Caenorhabditis elegans: one gene and its partners. The protein of the gene in region 4 interacts with the protein of the main gene of each other region in a pairwise test. Each region holds a gene or a part of one and is shown on either strand. Other genes may lie near its edges.

The links.
Region 1: the proteins of spe-42 (region 4) and spe-38 interact in a two-hybrid assay, tested with the Caenorhabditis elegans proteins (one study listed by BioGRID).
Region 2: the proteins of spe-42 (region 4) and spe-9 interact in a two-hybrid assay, tested with the Caenorhabditis elegans proteins (one study listed by BioGRID).
Region 3: the proteins of spe-42 (region 4) and spe-29 interact in a two-hybrid assay, tested with the Caenorhabditis elegans proteins (one study listed by BioGRID).

The regions. Positions count from the first base shown.
Region 1 is NC_003279.8:10,963,965-10,968,293, forward strand, and holds spe-38 (uncharacterized protein), read right to left. Parts: upstream 2,419-4,329; 5' UTR 2,350-2,418; coding exon 2,269-2,349; intron 2,126-2,268; coding exon 2,069-2,125; intron 2,019-2,068; coding exon 1,935-2,018; intron 1,645-1,934; coding exon 1,571-1,644; intron 847-1,570; coding exon 658-846; intron 609-657; coding exon 554-608; 3' UTR 508-553; downstream 1-507. Other genes in the region: impt-1 (Protein IMPACT homolog), read right to left, coding at 2,526-2,642, 4,182-4,329.
Region 2 is NC_003279.8:11,582,208-11,587,818, forward strand, and holds spe-9 (Sperm transmembrane protein 9), read right to left. Parts: upstream 3,863-5,611; 5' UTR 3,841-3,862; coding exon 3,795-3,840; intron 3,734-3,794; coding exon 3,633-3,733; intron 3,571-3,632; coding exon 3,494-3,570; intron 3,447-3,493; coding exon 3,339-3,446; intron 3,250-3,338; exon of another isoform or gene 3,151-3,249; intron 3,119-3,150; coding exon 2,830-3,118; intron 2,780-2,829; coding exon 2,705-2,779; intron 2,653-2,704; exon of another isoform or gene 2,580-2,652; intron 2,476-2,579; coding exon 2,409-2,475; intron 2,352-2,408; coding exon 2,246-2,351; intron 2,203-2,245; coding exon 2,063-2,202; intron 1,994-2,062; exon of another isoform or gene 1,904-1,993; intron 1,819-1,903; coding exon 1,620-1,818; intron 1,572-1,619; coding exon 1,487-1,571; intron 1,444-1,486; coding exon 1,283-1,443; intron 1,229-1,282; coding exon 1,052-1,228; intron 1,004-1,051; coding exon 936-1,003; intron 886-935; coding exon 743-885; intron 696-742; coding exon 552-695; 3' UTR 536-551; and 1 more. Other genes in the region: C17D12.5 (UBC core domain-containing protein), read left to right, coding at 4,044-4,082, 4,432-4,521, 4,571-4,724, 4,951-5,087. UniProt on the Caenorhabditis elegans protein: Required for fertilization. May be required for cell adhesion and/or function as a signaling molecule.
Region 3 is NC_003282.8:9,932,166-9,934,830, forward strand, and holds spe-29 (uncharacterized protein), read left to right. Parts: upstream 1-1,714; 5' UTR 1,715-1,744; coding exon 1,745-1,830; intron 1,831-1,886; coding exon 1,887-1,983; intron 1,984-2,027; coding exon 2,028-2,045; 3' UTR 2,046-2,157; downstream 2,158-2,665. Other genes in the region: F25H8.2 (H/ACA ribonucleoprotein complex non-core subunit NAF1), read left to right, coding at 188-232, 275-655, 705-813, 870-1,015, 1,063-1,306, 1,352-1,599.
Region 4 is NC_003283.11:11,733,025-11,739,037, forward strand, and holds spe-42 (Dendritic cell-specific transmembrane protein-like domain-containing protein), read right to left. Parts: upstream 3,973-6,013; 5' UTR 3,945-3,972; coding exon 3,859-3,944; intron 3,814-3,858; coding exon 3,682-3,813; intron 3,631-3,681; coding exon 3,526-3,630; intron 3,479-3,525; coding exon 3,415-3,478; intron 3,365-3,414; coding exon 3,272-3,364; intron 3,225-3,271; coding exon 3,007-3,224; intron 2,935-3,006; coding exon 2,745-2,934; intron 2,701-2,744; coding exon 2,293-2,700; intron 2,237-2,292; coding exon 2,093-2,236; intron 2,043-2,092; coding exon 1,914-2,042; intron 1,859-1,913; coding exon 1,598-1,858; intron 1,551-1,597; coding exon 1,413-1,550; intron 1,156-1,412; coding exon 1,040-1,155; intron 993-1,039; coding exon 841-992; intron 798-840; coding exon 709-797; 3' UTR 516-708; downstream 1-515. Other genes in the region: npp-22 (Nucleoporin ndc-1), read right to left, coding at 1-20, 68-327, 370-446.

The DNA of each region.
Region 1 (4,329 bases), on a different chromosome or scaffold from region 4:
CAATTGTCTTAAAAACGAATAACTCAAATTCCACGTTTTTAAAATTTTAAATATCACCATATTCTACTTCATCATAATGATAACCAAAATCGTACTATTCCTGCTGTTGTGCCTCTCGGCCTGTAATGCCTATACCTATCGGTACGATTATTGCCGTATTGCGTGTTCTGAACTACGTCCAAAAGCTGAAAGACCAAAATGTGCGGAAACTTGTGATAAAGATGTGAGAAGTGATGGTTGGATTGCAAACTGCGCTGGAGCAAGAAGTCCGGAATCGTGTTGGGTAAAAAAAAGTTGTACCGACTGCTTGGTGAATGGCAGAAACGTTTATAATACATGATTGTAATTGTTTCTGAGAATAAATTTTCATAATTTGCATTAATATTGACACTTTTTCGACAGAGTCAAAAAATTATCCATTCCAGAAGTTTCTCGAGCTTATGAGACCTGTTCAATGAGCAGAAAGAAAAAAATTGAAGGAAAATTTGAATTCCGGTTGAAAACCCAAACTACTCAGCCATTTTATTAAAAATCATTCAAAAGTTTAAAAAAATTAATCCTTCTTCTCTGATTTCTCATCCAAATCCGCCTCATACTCCAGGAATTTTCTGAAAAAAACGTATTTTTTTCAATTTTTCAAAATCCCTAAAAACATACTTTCGAATTTCGTCTTTCAAATCATCATCCACGTCATAATATCCACGATATCTTCCAGCTGAATAGGTAAATAGACGAATCACTAGGAAAATGCCAATTGTGTACATTATCACAATCACGATTTGGAATAAATTCAACAATTCACTCAGAGTTGGCTCTTCTTTTGATGTGAAATCACGCATTGAGATTCTGAAGTTTGGAAATGGGTTGGAAGGGCTACAAACTACAAACTACACACTAGAAACTACAAACTACAATTTCCTTAACACGTATTTCACTGATATCGGTATTGTGAAATTAGGTGAGAAATTTGAAATTTTGGAAAAGCCTCAATATGTCTCGAATATGACTTTCAAGCTACAAAATTCAAACTACAAACTACATACTACAGACTACAAACTACAAACTACTATTTCCCTAACACGTATTGCACTAGTATTGGTTTAGAGAAATTAGGTAAGAAATTTGAAATTTTGGAAAATTGCCAATACGTCTCGAACATCACTTGCAGGCTACAAACTACAAACTACAAACTACAAACTATAAACTACAAACTACAACTTCCATAAGACTTATTGTACTGATATCGGTATTGCGAAATTAGGTGAGAATTTTGAAACTTTGGAAAATTGCTAATATGTTTCTAATATGACTTGCAAGTTACAAACTACAAAAAACAGAGTGCACACTACAAACTACAAGCTACAAACTACAAACTACAAACTACAAACTAACTACAGACTACAACTTTTTGAGTTGCAACCCCAAATTGTGGTTTGTAGTCTCAGCAAGCTTGTTCCTCCCAGTTGTAGTTTGTAGTTTGTACTTTGTAGTTTGCATTTTGTAGTTTGCATTTTGTAGTTTGTAGTTTGTAGTTTGTAGTTTGTAGTTTGTAGTTTGTAGTCAAACTCACATGAACCGAGTTGTAACGAATCCCAAAATCAACATAACACGACACCCATAAACAATAATTGCCACTGGATTATCCTGAAATATAATTATGTTGGGTGAGGCTCAGACTACAAACTACAATTCTGCGCTCAGCCTCAACCAACATTGTAGTTTGTAGTCTGAGCTTCAATCTCGGGGTTTTACGGTTTTTTTGAGTGTAAATGAGGAAATTTTGGATTTTTTTTTTGGTAATTATGGAAATCGTAGGCTTTTTTATTGATTTTTTTGGGAAAACAGCTTCAAAATTTCAGATTAAGAAAAAAAATTTCCTAAAATTTAAGTCAAAAATTTCAGATTTTCTCAAATTTTCCGCCAAATATACTCACACAAATCGCCAAAACTGCGGAAATTGAAGTAACCAGTGAAATTCCGTGAAAAATCGCCCAAAATTGGTCAAAAGTGTCGTGGAACTGCAGGAAAATTGGGGATTTTGAGGGGAACTTTCAGGAGAAAAACTTACGAAAATGAGGAAAAGCTCTAAGCCAAATGAGAATAGAGTTAGGGTAAAGTCAAGGATCTGGAAAATATTTGAAATTCAAAAAAAAAAGTGAAAAAAACGTTTTGAAATTTTTGAAAAAAAAAAAAATTTTCCCAAAATTTTCAAAAAATTTTTTAATTCCAAAATTCCAAAAATTATCCCAGAACACTTCCAAAAATTACCATAAAAATGGCAAAAGCCAAAACGACATGAGAACAGCAGAATACAGTGTAGTTTGCATCGTTCGGTGAGCCCAACTCCATCAGAAAACGCATATTTGATTGAAAAACTATTTATTAGTATAAAGTGACCAATGTTTTGAAAAATAAATGAAAATGATTACAATTTGAAAGAGTTGTTGGATTAATAATATTAAAAGCACACGTAGGGAGTTTAAAATTGAAGAAAAAAAAATTATCACGTTAAAAAATATAGAATTTTAAGACTTCTTCGGTCCATAATTATTATCACTTAAAATTTGCCGAGTTAAATTATTAATATGTCGAAAACGATCGGGTCCAAGATGAATTCCACCGTACCAACGTGAAACGACGACCTGAAAGAAGAAATTGGTTGAGGCTCAGAGACTACAAACTACAAAATTGGAAAATTTTCAGTTTTTTAAGCATTAAGATTTTTAATATGCAAAAATCAATCTTTTTTCTTACAAAAACATTTTTTCTAATGAATTTGAACAATCTTGCTATTTTCGACTACAAGTGGTGTCAGGCTGTCTCATTGCGGTTTGATCTACGAAAAATGCGGGGATATTTTTCCAGAAAAATTGTGACGTCAGCACGCTCTTAACCATACGAAATGAGATGAGATGTCTGCGTCTCTTCTCCCGCATTTTTCGAAGATCAAAACGAAATGGGACTTTCTGACTCCACGTGCGACTACAAACTACAAAAATATATTCTGGAAAAAGGCTCAGGACCACTACAAACTATAGTTTCTTGACTACAAACTACAAACCAAAAAAAAACAAATTTTTTTTGAGAAATTTTGGAATTTCGGTGAGGTTCAGATACTACAAACTACAAAAAGCTGAATTTTATCGGTTTTTGAGTATTTTTTGAACTAGAATTTGAATTTTTTTAAAAACCCATAAAAAAATTCGGATTTCACAATTTTTGATTTAAAAAATTTGTAGAAAATTCTATTTTTACAGGAAAAAACCGTTAAAATAACTATGGAAATTTGGGTGAGGCTCAGAGACTACAAACTACAAACCCCGGCTCAGCCTCACCAAAAATGGAATTTCAGGGTGTGTTTGAAACTAAAATTCGAATTTTTTCGAGTTTCAAATTGAAAATAATTACGAAACTCAGAAAAATTAATAAATTTTACTTTTTTGCGAAAAAAAAACTAGTAGAAAATCCTATTTTACCGCTAAAATCCGTTGAAAAGCTACGAAAAATGGGTGAGGCTGAGAGACTACAAACTACAAAATGCTCCGAGCCTCACTCAAAACTTGATTTTAGGGTGTTTTTCAAAATAAAATTCGAATTTTTTGAGTTACACATTGAAAATGTTCACGAAACGCAAAAAATAACGAATTTCACTATATTTTTACAGAAAAAATCTGTTAAAAAACTAAAAAAAAATGGTGAGGCTAAGAGACTACAAACTACAAAAAGCTGAATTTTATCGGTTTTTGAGTGTTTTTTGAACTAAAATTCGAATTTTTTTAAAAAGAAACCCAAAAAAATAACAAGATTTCTCAATATTTTTGGAAAAACCAGTGGAAAAGTTTATTTTTACAGGAAAAAACCGTTAAAATAACTATGGAAATTTGGGTGAGGCTCAGAGACTACAAACTACAAACCCCGGCTCAGCCTCACCAAAAACGGAATTTCAGGGTGTGTTTGAAACTAAAATTCGAATTTTTTCGAGTTTCAAATTGAAAATGTTCAAGAAACGCAAAAAAATTAACGAATTTCACTTTTTTACAAAAAAACTAATAGAAAATTCAAAAATTGGGTGAGACTCAGAGACTACAAACTACAAAACCCCCTGAGCCTCACTCAAAACCCGAAATTCATCGTTTTTGCTCAATTTTCAGCGGATTTTCTCGCGGAAAAAAAGCTATTACCATCACATTATCCGCTTTCATTCGATCCATGAGCTCTAACATTTTCGAACTTGCTCCAAATTCCCCATCATCCACACAATCATGATGATGAATTGGTTTTCCATTGATTTCAGTCATATATCGATATGCTGTAATATTATGTGTTGCC
Region 2 (5,611 bases), on a different chromosome or scaffold from region 4:
TCAAAGAGACCTACGGCAGGTTGTCAGGTAGGTATCAGGATAGACCTGCCACCTGAATCAATGCCTGCCTACCATGCAGACCCCCTAATAGTGAGAAATAGAGAGGGACTAGCACCACGGGGTTCTGGCCTTCCTCATCACGTGGCGTCAGAAAGTCTCATTGCGGTTTGATCTACAAAAAATGCGGGAATTTTTTTCCAGACAAATTGTGATGTCAGCACACTCTTAACCATGCGAAATCAGTTGAGATGCCTGCGTCTCACCTCTCGCATTTTTCGTAGATCAAAGCGAAATGGGACTTTCTGACTACACGTGCCTCATTGAAATTTGAGCGCTACATTGGCAATCGCCCGCCGGACAACGCGTGGGACAGTCGTGTATTCGACACGGACAAATACATTTAGTTTTACAGCTAAAATTGAGCCGCGACGCGACACGCAATGCGCCGTAAATATGAATCCGTGTGTCACCGATCATTTCCTGAGCAAAACTTTCTGATATTTGCAAAGCTTTATAGATGTTAAATAACAATTAATTAAAAAAAAATGTCTTTATGGATTCTCAGTTTTCACTTCTGACGTTTTCTTCGCCTCTTCTACTCTTCCCTGACGCCGTCTACTGATCACAATCACTGGCAGAAGAATAGCCAGCGAGACGAAGCACGCAACCAGTGGCAACGAAAATTCATAGTTCTTCTGAAACACGCAGAAATATTATATTTTAAACTATTTGAGTAATTTACCATAAGCCGATTGGTCATCACACTGGACCAGGCGATTTCCACGTTGCAGTCGAGACCCTCAAATCCGTCGTCACACTCACACGAGAAGCCCCGGTGAAAGTACTCATCATTGATACAGGTTCCATGGACGCAGATTTTGTTTCCTGTAGGCTTAGCGGTAGGCAGGCAGGTAAACATGAAGCTTCTAACTTACCAAACGCATCACACGAGTCATCCACATTCTCACACAACGAGCCACGTGTCCCATTGACGCATTGACAGCTGAAAAGAACGACTGTAGTTTGCAGTATCTGTAGTTTGTAGCCCTACTCATAACTCCGCTGCTTTGGGTCGATATGGCATGTGGCACTGTTCTGGCACAGGTTTTGGTAGCAGGGGTTTGTATGGACTTTGCAAAACGGTGGAAGGTACCCGGCTTCGCAGAGGCATCGGAATCCCTGGCGATTGTCATTGTCGTTACAGAGAGGCATCAGGTCATCGGCATCGCTGAAAATATTAAAGTAGGTAGGTAGGTAGGTAGGTACAAAGGCAATCTCTTACCTCTCACAAGGAACACACCGTCCGTTGCCACAGGCTCCGGGAGCACACTTCTTCTCGTTAATTTCCATGCAGGCTTGGCTTTCCGGGTTCAACTTTGCGGATAATGGGCATAAGCATTGATAGCGACTTGTGCCGAATGCCACGTCGGCAGTGTTCGGTATCTGAAATTTTTTCGCTGATTTTCAGAGGCCTCGATGTGCCTACCGGGATACAGTCACCGTGCTTGCAAGGTTGCCGAGCACACGGGTCGAAGATTTCGCATTTCTCGCCGGTGTAGTCCGGCTTGCATCTGAAATTAGGGCTACTAGGTAAAAGGCAGGCAGGTAGGTGCACTAACACACAATGAGCCACTCCACTAATATCCACACATGCTCCGTGTTGAGAATCCGTGCACTTTTCGTCCCACCGGTCCCCGCGAGCCACCTCCTCTCGAGTCAAAGAGCAAGAGTCATGGCGTTTGTACTCACAATAGTAACCGTCGGTGAGAGGATTGGTACATTCGCAGCGATAGATGTAGTAGGCTCGGGAGCTGTTCACTGAAACATTAGGTATGAGAATGGAACAAGGCAGGCATAGGCCAGAATTTTGTGCATACGTTTTAGCGCGGTGTTAAAAATTTTTACAAAAACGTAAGCCCAATGCGGGGCTCGAACCCGCGACAACCAGATTAAGAGTCTGGTGCTCTACCGACTGAGCTAACCGGGCGGCGAACGTACTGACAAAAAGGTGTTAGAAAAAAGTTGAGTTACCGGGAGAATTGTGGTAATTGAATTTTCCTACCTCGAACAACTTCAGGTACACACTTCCCATCATTTCTACACCATCCATCAGTCATCGTCCCATTGACATTCTTCCCATCATTGTAGTCATTTTTAATTGCTTCCAACTCCGAAATGTCATCCATATATTCCAAGGAAATACTGAAAATGTGAGTTTTACAACCATTCTATAAACTTTTCCTACTTTGCGATGAATTTCTTAAAAAACATCGTCGAATTACTTCCCTCGGCACATGGAATAAATTCTTTGGGGGCTGTTGAAGGAATTTGAAGGGTTTCGCAGTTTTCACCTGAAATTTTTCTGAAATTCACAGAATTTGAAATATTTTTTTTTTTTTTTTACCCACCTGTTACAGTACCACCAATAAGTTCAATCGCAGAAGGACATTTACAGGTGGCAGTGACGGTTTTGGTCTGAAATAGAAGGTGTGTAATTTGAAGGTCACTTTTTGTTCTGTCTATCAAGTCTCGTTGTTACCCAACATTTCTCTAGACCCTCTGTTGTAAGAGTTAACGCCGCCCGGTTAGCTCAGTCGGTAGAGCACCAGACTCTTAATCTGGTTGTCGCGGGTTCGAGCCCCGCATTGGGCTTACGTTTTTCTATGTTTAGATAAAATATTTTCTCGAATCTTGAAAAAAATACCTTCCAATCTACCACATCTTCACATATTCCACCATTATCACATTGAGTGTCGAAGCAAGCTGATATTTGTTCACACTGGAATTTAAACATATTTCAGAAGAAATTCTGAAGTTGTAAACGCTCACTCTATCTCCAAAGAATTGATTTTCACATTCACACTCGCATTTTCCAGTCGCATTAATTGCTCCCTTGCCTCTGCCCAAACAATACACTTCTTGGCAAGTTCGATCTGCTTCAGACTCATCGCATAACCCGCCAAAGTACCCCTTTTGGCATATACACTCGTAATTCACTTCTAAATCGATTTCAGCCAATTCTTCATTTGTTAAAGCTGCTTTGGATCCGTTTACTTTTCTTTGGACACGAATTTGTCTCAAAAGAACTGTATTGACAATAGTCCGCAGGCTTTTGATGCTGAAACAGAGGTAATGATAATTTAAAAAAGGGAAAAAAAGAACTGAAGAGAGTGGGATTCGAACCCACGCCCCCGAAGGGACTGGTGCCTTAAACCAGCGCCTTGGACCGCTCGGCCATCTCTCCGCCGGCGACTAACGGCTGGAGGGCATAGACACAACTTGTGTACACCGAAACAGTTGCCATAAAAATTCACAGAAAAAAACGAATGTTTTCCAACCTGACACACGTAGAATTATTCTGACACAAGTGTTTCTCGCAATTCGTTTGATCTGACACGTGTTCACACGTTTTTCCGTAATGTGTGACCGGGCAAATGCAATAGAAGCTGAAAATATTGCCTTTTTAATCTGAAAAGTTGGCAAAAACTCTCACTTTCCATTTTCATGCAAGCATTTTCCCCGATTTGAGCAAATTTTCGGATTTTCCAGACAAGGATTGAAGTTTTTGTTCTAAAAATATTTAAATTCCATAAAAATGCAAACGCGCCCCATCGCAAAAATCGATAATTTACCCTTTTCACCGCCAGACTTTCTTCATTATAGTTGGGTGTTTTTTCAATATCATTCGGAGCATCTTTCTCCAAAAAATCAATAATTTTTCTGATTTTTGCACCTGAAAATTAAAAAAATCGATAATTTTTCCGAAAAAAATCGATAAAACATGAAAAACTCACAGTCGCCGGCGAAAAACAACACAACCAACACCAGAATCACATTCATTTTACGAAAATTTCAGAGCAATAATGCAAAAAGATTGCGTAAAACGAATCGATAGCATCGTGACGTTCCAGTTTATTGATTTTTCGGGATAAATCGATAATGCTCGAAAAAATCGATAAAACGTGAAAACTCACTGTCGACGGCAAAAAACAACACAACCAACACCAGAATAACATTTATTTCACGAAAATTTCAAAGTAATAATGCAAAAAGTTTGCGAAAAACGGATCGATAGCGTCGTGGTGAGTTAGCGTTCTAGTTTATTGATTTTTGGGGAAAAATCAATAAAAAAACCGACAGGTTTTCAGAAAATTGTCGAGAATTTCTGGGAAAGTTAAAAATGTTTCAAATGGGGCTCCCAGGGCTCCCAACTGAGTGAGGCGCAAAATTCGGGCTTCACGCCGGCCCCTCTCTGGCCCTATCCGGCCGGCCTTACGCCGACACCGCGCGCCGCTGTGTGTGTGGAGCGGCTATTTGGTAGCGGCCGACATGTTTGCGGTTCCGCGCCACACTATTCATGCGGCGACCTCATGGGAGCCCTACTTTCAGAACAAAAATCGATGTATTTTCTAAATATTAATTCTTTTCCAGGCGTCGGCTGTCGAGGGTTCTGGAATGTTCTACGCGGTGAGATTCGAGCCGCCGCCGTCGAAAACTTGCTTTGACGTGACTCTAAAGACGGTGAGAGCGGCGGCGCCACGCAAAAAAAAAATCAATAATCAAATTTCAGTACGGACCGCCCTACACCGAGTACATCGTAACCGTCGCAATTCCGCCGAAATTCCCGTTCTCGCCGCCGGCGATCACTTGCAAAACTGATAAAAATATGAAATTCCTGTTTTTGGAGGAAAATCAATGGAAACCGTCTACCGGAATTGTTGCAGGTAGAGAAAATCGATAATTCTCCCCTTTTTTCAGCGAAAAAATTATCCTGAACGTATTTTTTTGGTAGCAAAACAACCGGATTTTTCTATTTTCTTTTTCAGAGGCTTCAGTACTAAATCCGTTGATAATCTCTTGTTTGTTGTCTGGTTACTGATACAATTTTTTAGTGATTCGAAATTTTATTTACCATGTGCCTACCTTAAACCTACAATATTCATTTTTCAGTCCTTATCGAAGCCTGCAGTGTGATTTCGCGTCGAGACCTGGTCCCCCGTGCACCGGTTCTTCCACGCATCCGTCCACCACAAGCACGTACGCCAACTAGTGCTTCGCCTGCAAAGTCGCCACAGAAAGCTGATTGATTGATTTTTGAGTAGAAAAAATAAAGTTTTGAATGTTTAAATTGAGTTTTTTACATTGAAACAGGTGGAAATGGAATAGACTTCTCGGGATGTATGGGTGACTGACCAAACCACTTGAAGAAAATTAAGAATTTATCGTCTCAGTCCCACTACTCCTACAGTAGTCCTACAGTACCCCAACATCATCCCTACAGTAACCCTAAAGTACTCTTACAGTAACCATACAGTACCACTACAGCTCCCCTACAGAAACGCTACCGTAACCCTACAGTAATGCTACAGTACTCCATCGAGTAAGTACCACTATGATACCCTTACAGTAACGCTACAATAGGCCTACAGTACTACTAAATTATCACTACAGTACCACTAAGGAACCCCTCGAGTTATCCTAAATTATTACTACAGTACCCCTACAGTATCTGTACCGTAACCCTACAGCAACACTACAGCAACACTATAGTAAGCCGACAGCAATTCTACAGTATCACTACAGAACCCCTACCGCAACCCTACAGTAACCC
Region 3 (2,665 bases), on a different chromosome or scaffold from region 4:
TTTAGAATATATTTTTTAATGTTTTCAAAAAAAAAAATGAGAGAAATCAGTGAAATGCAAACATGCTCCAATGACAAACTAACAAACGACACTCCGATTTCGCGTCAAAAATTTTTTCAATTAAAAAATTTATTTCGTTTTTAGGTTAATTCTTTTATTTACACTCATTGCAAAAATATTATCAAGAATGGAGGAAGAAACAATTAAAGTCGAAAATCTGGATGATTCAATTGTATGTTTTCCTTTTAAATTCCAAAAATATTCCATATTTTAGACTATCGATCGAAATCCTGTGCCACTTGCTTTCTGTGCTCGACCAACACTTCCCGCAAAAATTGGAATGAAGACAGAAGATGGAATCGTCGATCAACTTTTGGATCTTGTTGATCCTATCACCGTTGTGAATCCTACTGAAATTCGCCAGGCTCCATCATTGAAAAGCTTCGGATGCGACACTGAAAGTGAATTTGAGTTTTCTGGAGATGATAGCGATTTCGAAAATATCAACGATTTACGAGCCGGTGCACTTGATTCTGATGAAGAGTTTGACAGGCTAGTAAAGTTTTCCGCAAAGATTATTGAGAAGACACACAAGTCAGAGTACCCGGATGAAAATGGAAAAAAGCAGCGGAAGCCAAAAAAGTCACAAAAAACGGTAAGGTTTCATTATTTTGAAATGTTTTTTCGAATGATTAGATTTCTAGCGTAATGTTCACGAGTATGATGATATGCCACCACTCGAGAATCTCAGTATTGAATGTAAAGGACAATTGCTGGAATTTGGTTTTGTAAGCAAAGTCGTGGATTGTCAAGGTAAATTGTCAAAAATGTCAACCTTATATAAAATGTTAATTGAATTGGTATTTCAGTTGTTATCATTTCAACATGCACAGAAGTTCTCGACTTCGATTCATTTCTTTTCGATCAAAAAGGAAATGCGTTGGGACAAATTTATGACATTTTTGGACAAGTCAAAAATCCACAATACGTTATTCGATTCAATTCTTGTGAAGAGGTGAAGCTTTTAGTAGACAAATAAAATATATAACAGAAGTTTTATAGGCATCGATGATACCCATTGACATGAAAGTATATTATGCTCCTACAGAAGAACAATTTTCCAAAACTCCATTCAAAGGACTTAATCTTGCTGCAGCAAATAGGGATGCTATTAAATCCCTAAATCGTCGCATTGATCATCAAGAAGCTGTTGCAAAAGCTGGTGAAACGATGGCTCAGGTTGGCATCGGTAGTGACGTGGAGTTCAGTGATGATGAAGCGGAGAAAGAATTTAAACGCACCACATGTAAGATATAATTGAAATTTACTTTCAAATTCTAGTAATTTTCAGATACCCAACCAGCTAGTCAAATGTCAAGAGGATTCGATTCGAACAGAGGGCGAAAACGAGATCGCCGCGGAGGACAAAAAGTTAGATTTTCTGCTCAGAATCCACCTGCCAGATCGGATAATCTTGGGCCCATCCCTCAGCAGCCATCTGCGCCACCGCCACCTGCTCGTCCAGCACAATCAACCGAATCAAATCCATATGCCGAATTCGGATGTCATTCTGGATTCAACGGACGTTTTGGAATTTAATTTTTTGTTAAAATATCGTTACACATTGAATACTTTGTTGGATATATTGTAACATTTTTTCGTTGTTATTGTTGCACTTTTGGAATTGACGCGTGAATAAACTTCATTTTTACATTTTAAAATCATAAATTGCTATAATATCAAAATGACGAATAGTCATACTCACAACGGAAACCGAATTTGGTTCATCTGCAGCTGGGAAAATGGTCCAATTTGTTATGGAATGGCTCTGTGAGTTCAAATTCTTCGCAGCTGTGAGCTATGCTCTGGAAATCGTATTTTTTCAGTGATCTTATTGGGGGAATTTCTTTGATTGCTTTCTCAGTTCTTCTCGTCGGAGTCATATTTTTCGGATGGTTTGGAATATTTCCAAAAGTTATTCGAGTAAGCTTCACGAGTAATTCTAATTTTTGTATGTTTTCTTTCAGCGTAAACTTCACGATTGAATTTTATATTTTTATTATAACGTTCAGAAGAAGGCGAGGCTCTATTACTCTATTTTAATAAAATATTTGAATTGACTAAAGTTTAATAAATATTATGCAGTGCTATGAAAAACTTGTGGGTAAAGTGGAATAGAGAAAAAAAGAGAAAAGAAAGGAACGGCAGGAAGAAGCTGGCTGAAAATTAGAATATCTAAAAAAAACAATTAATAAAAAAAGATTAACTGGAAGAAGGAAAGCAGCGGGTGGGTTGGAAAAGTGAAAAAAGGAAAGGCAGTATAATAGGAAAACAAGGATTTTTGAAACATAGAAAACAAGGAAAGCAAAAAAAGAAAACAACTGGAAATAAGGAAAGATTTAAAGCTCAGGCTATAATGAGTATGTAATTGAACTGAACAAATTAAAAAATAAAAACAAAAAAGATTCTCCTGCGATAAGACTAAATTACTTAGCGAAGTTAGGACAGGAGCAAACATCGATCAGGAAAATCAAACTTCAGCGATTCGCAAAATTGATGGATATACATATCGAGAAATTTTAAACAGTTTCCGCTTCTTTTTTGTTCAGAAACTTTGTTCAAGAATGTCTAAATTGCCCCCATATATCTCACAATTCAGCGAATT
Region 4 (6,013 bases):
AATCCACCACGCCAGGGAGTCTGAAAAAGAGAAATGTCCAATCATAGAAAAATAAATAAACGTCAACCTTGAACTGAGCTGAAAGGGGCCCAAATCGTGAGTTTCAAAATGGATACTGTGACAATGAAGAAAATGGTGGACAGATATCCGCATGCAGCACCAGCTAATCTCTTTCTAACACTGATTTCCGCTTGAAACCAATCCACGATTTGATCGAAAATTGTGATTGGCTTCTGTTGAACACGCGGTGAACTGACTGTGCGGTTTGGGGACCTTCGCAAGTTTGGTGAAGATGATGAACTGCTTGCAGCGGGAAAATCGTTCTTTCTATAATTATTCTCATTGTATGAATCTTTACTTAATTGATACCTTCTTCCCGGAGAAAATTGATTATATAGATGTTCATCTGTCGTTGTTGTGAATGAAGAATGACTATCACCCATCATTTCTGAAACAATAAATCAGTGAATTAGAGTTCCAAACGGGAAAACCCATAAATAACAAATAAAATGAAGTTTAAATGATAATTTATTTGAATTCAATTGGAAAATAATCATTGAAGTTCGAGGAAATAATAAGAAAACTAATAAATGAACGAAATCATTTCGAAAACTGCGCCAAAAGGCAAATAAATTTGAACTCGAAAAGTACATTGTCATTGGAGCGCGCTTTCCCCAACGGCGGGAAAGTTAATTTTTCAAACATCATTCAGACGACAGTGGTTACTGCGGTGGTGGTTGTTCCTTCTGTTGGTTCTTTGTCAGGTTCGTCGTCTTCGCGTTCACTCAATGAAATATCTGGAATAGATGATTATTAATGTTTAAATAAAGTTAATTTTACCTGAGTCATCAATAATTGCGTTACTCTCCTCATAGTATAGCTCAATCCCGTTAATACATTGCATTTCCTCCTCGCATTTCACACAGAAAAGAGTCACTGAGAAACAGTTGATACAGTAAAAAGCACTACAATGAACACACACTCGCACATTTCTGAATTAATAGCTTTGTTTTCTTGATCATCAATAAACAAAACTAACTCTTGATCAGACACTTTCATATCGTACTTTTCACATTTTACACAATCGGAGCACACGAATCCACGACTTTGCATTGTTCTCCGAATTATGACATCTTCACCACCCACTACATCTTTCTGTCAATTATCAATGTTACGAGTGCAAAAATTACTTTTAAATCAAATCGGAATGTCAAATTCAGGAAAAAATATATCTGTTTTTGAATACTATCAATTCGCAAAATCGGGATTTATCACTCAAAAAATACGGTACCGGTGACGTAGTGATGTAGTAAGTAGTACTGTAGTGGCTAACTTTTTTTCAATGTTTAAGTTGTGAATATCGAGGAATTGAAAATATTTCAGTCAACTCGAGACCGGAAATTCCCATTTACCTTATTATTTCCTAACATTTCTGTCAGCAAATTTCGTCGACTTTGTAAAATTTTGTTATAAAGGCTCAATGCACGAATTCTTACTCGATTCGGAAAGAAGTAATCTGCCAATACAAGTGTTTGCCTTCCAAAATATGCCTTCAAAAATTAAATATATCTTAACAGTACTCCTCAACTCTTCAAACCTTCAATCGACAAAGAAAAAGTGCAGCGATAAACATGAGAAACATCACCATATTTTCTGTATAGTTTGGAGGATTTGGTTCGTTGAAACATCGTCTCCAACGATTTTCACGGTCTCGAATACTTTTAGTAAATGGACTGAAAACATCGAGAAATTCATTCATCACATCTGACATTGAACTATTTCCAGCAACTTTCAATTCATAATGAGCAGGAGTATCGATATTTGTTCGGTTCATTAAAGTATGAACAGTTGATAGAGTCTGAAACTTTGAATCTATAGATTTGAAGTCAATATAATTTTATTCATTTAATTACCGTAAATATACCATAATCAAGCATACACATAAAGAAAGGAGTGACACAACTGACAATTGTGATGAAAATATCTAATCGAAATTTAGGTCGCTCTTGTTCTGTCATTTTCCACTGACCTCGACTGACATACTAAACGGTGTCTAAGATTTTTAGAATGATAATGAACCAGAGAAACCTACCTGCTTTGATTCATTTGCCATTAATGGCATGACTTTACGAGCTCCGCGAAATGCACAATCTTGATCAATTTTTGTAAATTCTTTTGTGAGAAAACGGTTTTTAAAGTCGTCATTATAGTTGTAGTTATACATGAACCGAAGTGTCTGAAAAATATCAGTTCAAAATTTTGTATGTTAACATATTACTTATTTAAACTCACATAGATGAACGGCCATATGAGCAATCCTGGCATGATACAATATCGAAGAATAAATGAAATTATATTGATAATCCGTATGTATACATTCACAATTCCCATCAAACTTTTCTTTATACTTGCTCTCAAGTTTGCAGTTGTATCATCTGCAGCATTTGGTTTACCATCATCAGATGACTGGTATTCAGCTCGAATGTTTTTCGCCTTTTTTATCTCTTCTATCACTGGATTCACTTTCTTCAGTGCCCATTTTGCTGCTTCAATGTGTACGTAGAAAATCTTTTTCACCGCGAATTCAATTGCTTGAAAGTAAGCTGCATAAAATGGTACAGCTGCTCCTTTAACTCCTTTTCCAATGATAGAAGGTAAAGAACATACTTCCGTTGAGAAACCCTTTGCTTGATGGCAAATCTTAATGTTTTATAATAGGATTGATATGTTGACTGATTGAATACCTTTGCAGTTTTCTGAATCATTTCACAAGCATCGCCGTGGCTTCCAAAAAATCGAGCTTTCCCCTTACAATAAAAATATGCGTCGTCGAAAATATCAAGACATTTTGTATAGGGAGTTTTGAGCATATTTCGACATTGATTTGACAAGTTGGCTATAACTCGATAATGTCGCCTCATGATGTCCACAAATCTTAATTGAAACAATATCAATTTAATCAAATTACAAGAATTTGACATTTTGGGTATCCCAATTGCAACTTACTTTGTCATCTTTTCATCTAGAACCAATAGCATTTTCTTGACCTTATTCATTGGACCAGATACATTTTGAAGAAGTGCACGAAACCGAGAAACAAGCATAGCTCCTTTATCCATTACATTCCCTTCCACATCATTTCTTGAACTCATAACATCAATTTGAACGCAGGCAACACCAGAAGCTACTTGATGAATATTTCCAATAACATTCATTGCAGGACCCTGAAATTAGTTTGAGATGTTCCCGTGAATAGATGAATTGATAAAACTTCAAAAGCCATTGTGACAAGAAGAATTAAAATTATGTTTTTGATTTTTGTAGTCAACATGACGTGGATAGAAATCATAAAGTACGTCATCATCTGAAACGAAATATTTTATTAATTCCACATAAAAATCCTGAAGTACTTACTTTTGGAAATATCAAAGTGAAAATCAGAAAAACGTGGATAATTGTGGATATGGAAGTTCCAATACTATATTGAAAATATTTAACTTTAGATTTAGGATATGATCTACTTACAACTCCGGGTATTGTGAATATTTGAACGACAACAGAAAATACATAACTATTCCAAATAATTCAATCATTAGGATGTTTCGGAATAGAAGTACAATAGAATTAGCTCTGGAAAAATAATTTTAAGATTTTCTTTTTTCTCAAAATAATTCCAAAAACCTTGTTCCATCTTCGAATAAATTGTCATAAATCCCATCATCTTTTTCCTTTTTCCATGGAGGATATAAAACGGACAACCATTTTTTCAAACGTTCAGAATATCTTAAAACTCGGTTTTGACCTGATTTTTCTCTGAAATTTTTCATGTGTTTGAACAAAATCCACACTCTAACCAACCGTCTGATATTATTAACCACAAATTGAAACTTTCTCACAGCTCGATTGGCTCGACGTTTTACATTCCATAATCCAATTAAGCCCATAGTTGATACAATTCAGTTAGATTTTAAAAAGGTGAAATAAATATTTTCACCATGATACGTTTTGAAAATTTGTGAACCGCTGGCAAACAGATTTGAGTTCACGTTTTGAACATTTTCTCCGAATTGGGAAACTGCAGGTGTCCCTTTTCTCGGCTTTGCTTACTAAAGAGCCAAGAGAGCCAAACGGATTGGCATTTGAGACCTATGTGATTCAATAGCTCATGTTTTGAAACGGTTATACGTGGAAAAGTTAGAATAAGGTTTTCAAGCAAAATGTGCCTACTTGTGTGCCTATGAAACCAATTATTTCGAATTTTTCAGAACTACGAGCTTCAATGGAACTATAGTATACACTAACTATAGGATATACATCTCTCGGAACCGCTGGCAACAATATTAATTTTTCAAACATTTGTGAACTGAATTACAGAATACACGTTACCAAAAGTACATCGATTGTTTATTTCTTTTTATCACCAGAAGTACATCTGATTTCGGAACAGGCGTTCACTAATTTTCGTTGCTTCATTGCAATGAAAAAAACGAGTTGCTTATCGTAATGCTTGTTATCATATCACTGTATCTATTGCCACTTCATATCTCATTTCCTCTTTTTGTAGGCCGATTTGGGTCAATCCGATATAGAGAACACCTATAAACAAACCCCTTTTTTTTCATTTTATGACGTGAACATTCAGATCCTCAATAAAACGGATGGGTGTGGTTATGTTCTTGTCCCCTCGAACACAACTTTTAATTGTATTTCTAATTCTCTGAAGAATTTCAGATTTCTGAAGAGAAGAATTCAATTGTACTGTCATTCCCGTCCCTTTTTGGGGCTTCCGACGCAATGTTGCCTCTTTTCAATAGATACGACGAATAAAAAAAAACAAAAAACAAAGAAAATGATTTTGCTTCCGATTGCTCACCAGGCTTCAATCTATACTGTACATTTTTCCCCAATAAATATAAAATTTGGATAGTAGAGAGACAGAAAATCAAAAAAAAATATATCGTAACTTGTATATTGTTCCATAAGAGAGACGCACAAAAGGATATATTTGATGGTGTGTGAAACCCGAAATCGTCGTGGTTACCCCCGTTGTCGGCGACAATTTCAACAGACTTTTCATACTGACTGGTTTTCGGTCGACAGTCATTTTTCACCCACTTTCAATTTGACTAAACTTGGTCAGTGTTCGGTTTTTCATTGGTTACACAACCTTAGATTTTTTATTCTTTGTGTTTGATCCCTGATTTGACTAGAAAACATTAATTTGCTTGTTTGATACTCAATTTCCCATGTGCCAGTTTAATTTTGACAGTTGTAGGAATTCCTGGTTTCGTTAAAAATTAGTATTTCAACCATTGATTTGTTTTTGAAGGTATCTGTTAATCTATCAAGAATTTATTGTAAGAAACCACAAACTCGCCAAAATCTTGGTTTTGTATTTATTTTTCATATTTATTTTTTGTATTATCTATTTTTTAAACTCACTTTCTTACTGACTTGGCTTACATAAATAAAACCGTTCAAATTAGATGATAGATGACTTTCAAGAACTTAAAATTGGCAGAGAGTTACCTTTTTCAAAATGATGCGTATAATTCGGCACAATTTAGTTTTCAACACAATACAACATAAACAAAAAGTAAACAAAATTTTTAAAAGTTCGTCAATTATCAATTTGGTCAATTGTACGTAGTAATTGAATCCTTCTTTCCATCAACCGTAACCATATTTCGACTTTTGCTTGCCCCTTTTCCGTTTAATTAGCCTTTCCTCCCACTTTCCCCCGTGCCCACCTATTTCCTCTCGTACTTTTTTTTATCGTTTTTCGAGTACCTTTTTTCTGCTTTTCATTGTGTTATTCGACCCCGTATTTCTAACTTTCTGCAACCTGTTTCTTGTTTTAAACTATTTTAAACAAGTCAACATTCCTTCCCATCTCTGTCGGTCACTTTCATCTCCTAATCGTTCAGACATTGTTGCGATACTTGAACTTTTATTGTACTGTTTTAGTCTGATTGTTTTTTCGCGTTTTAATGTTTCTCTCGATAATTCAAAA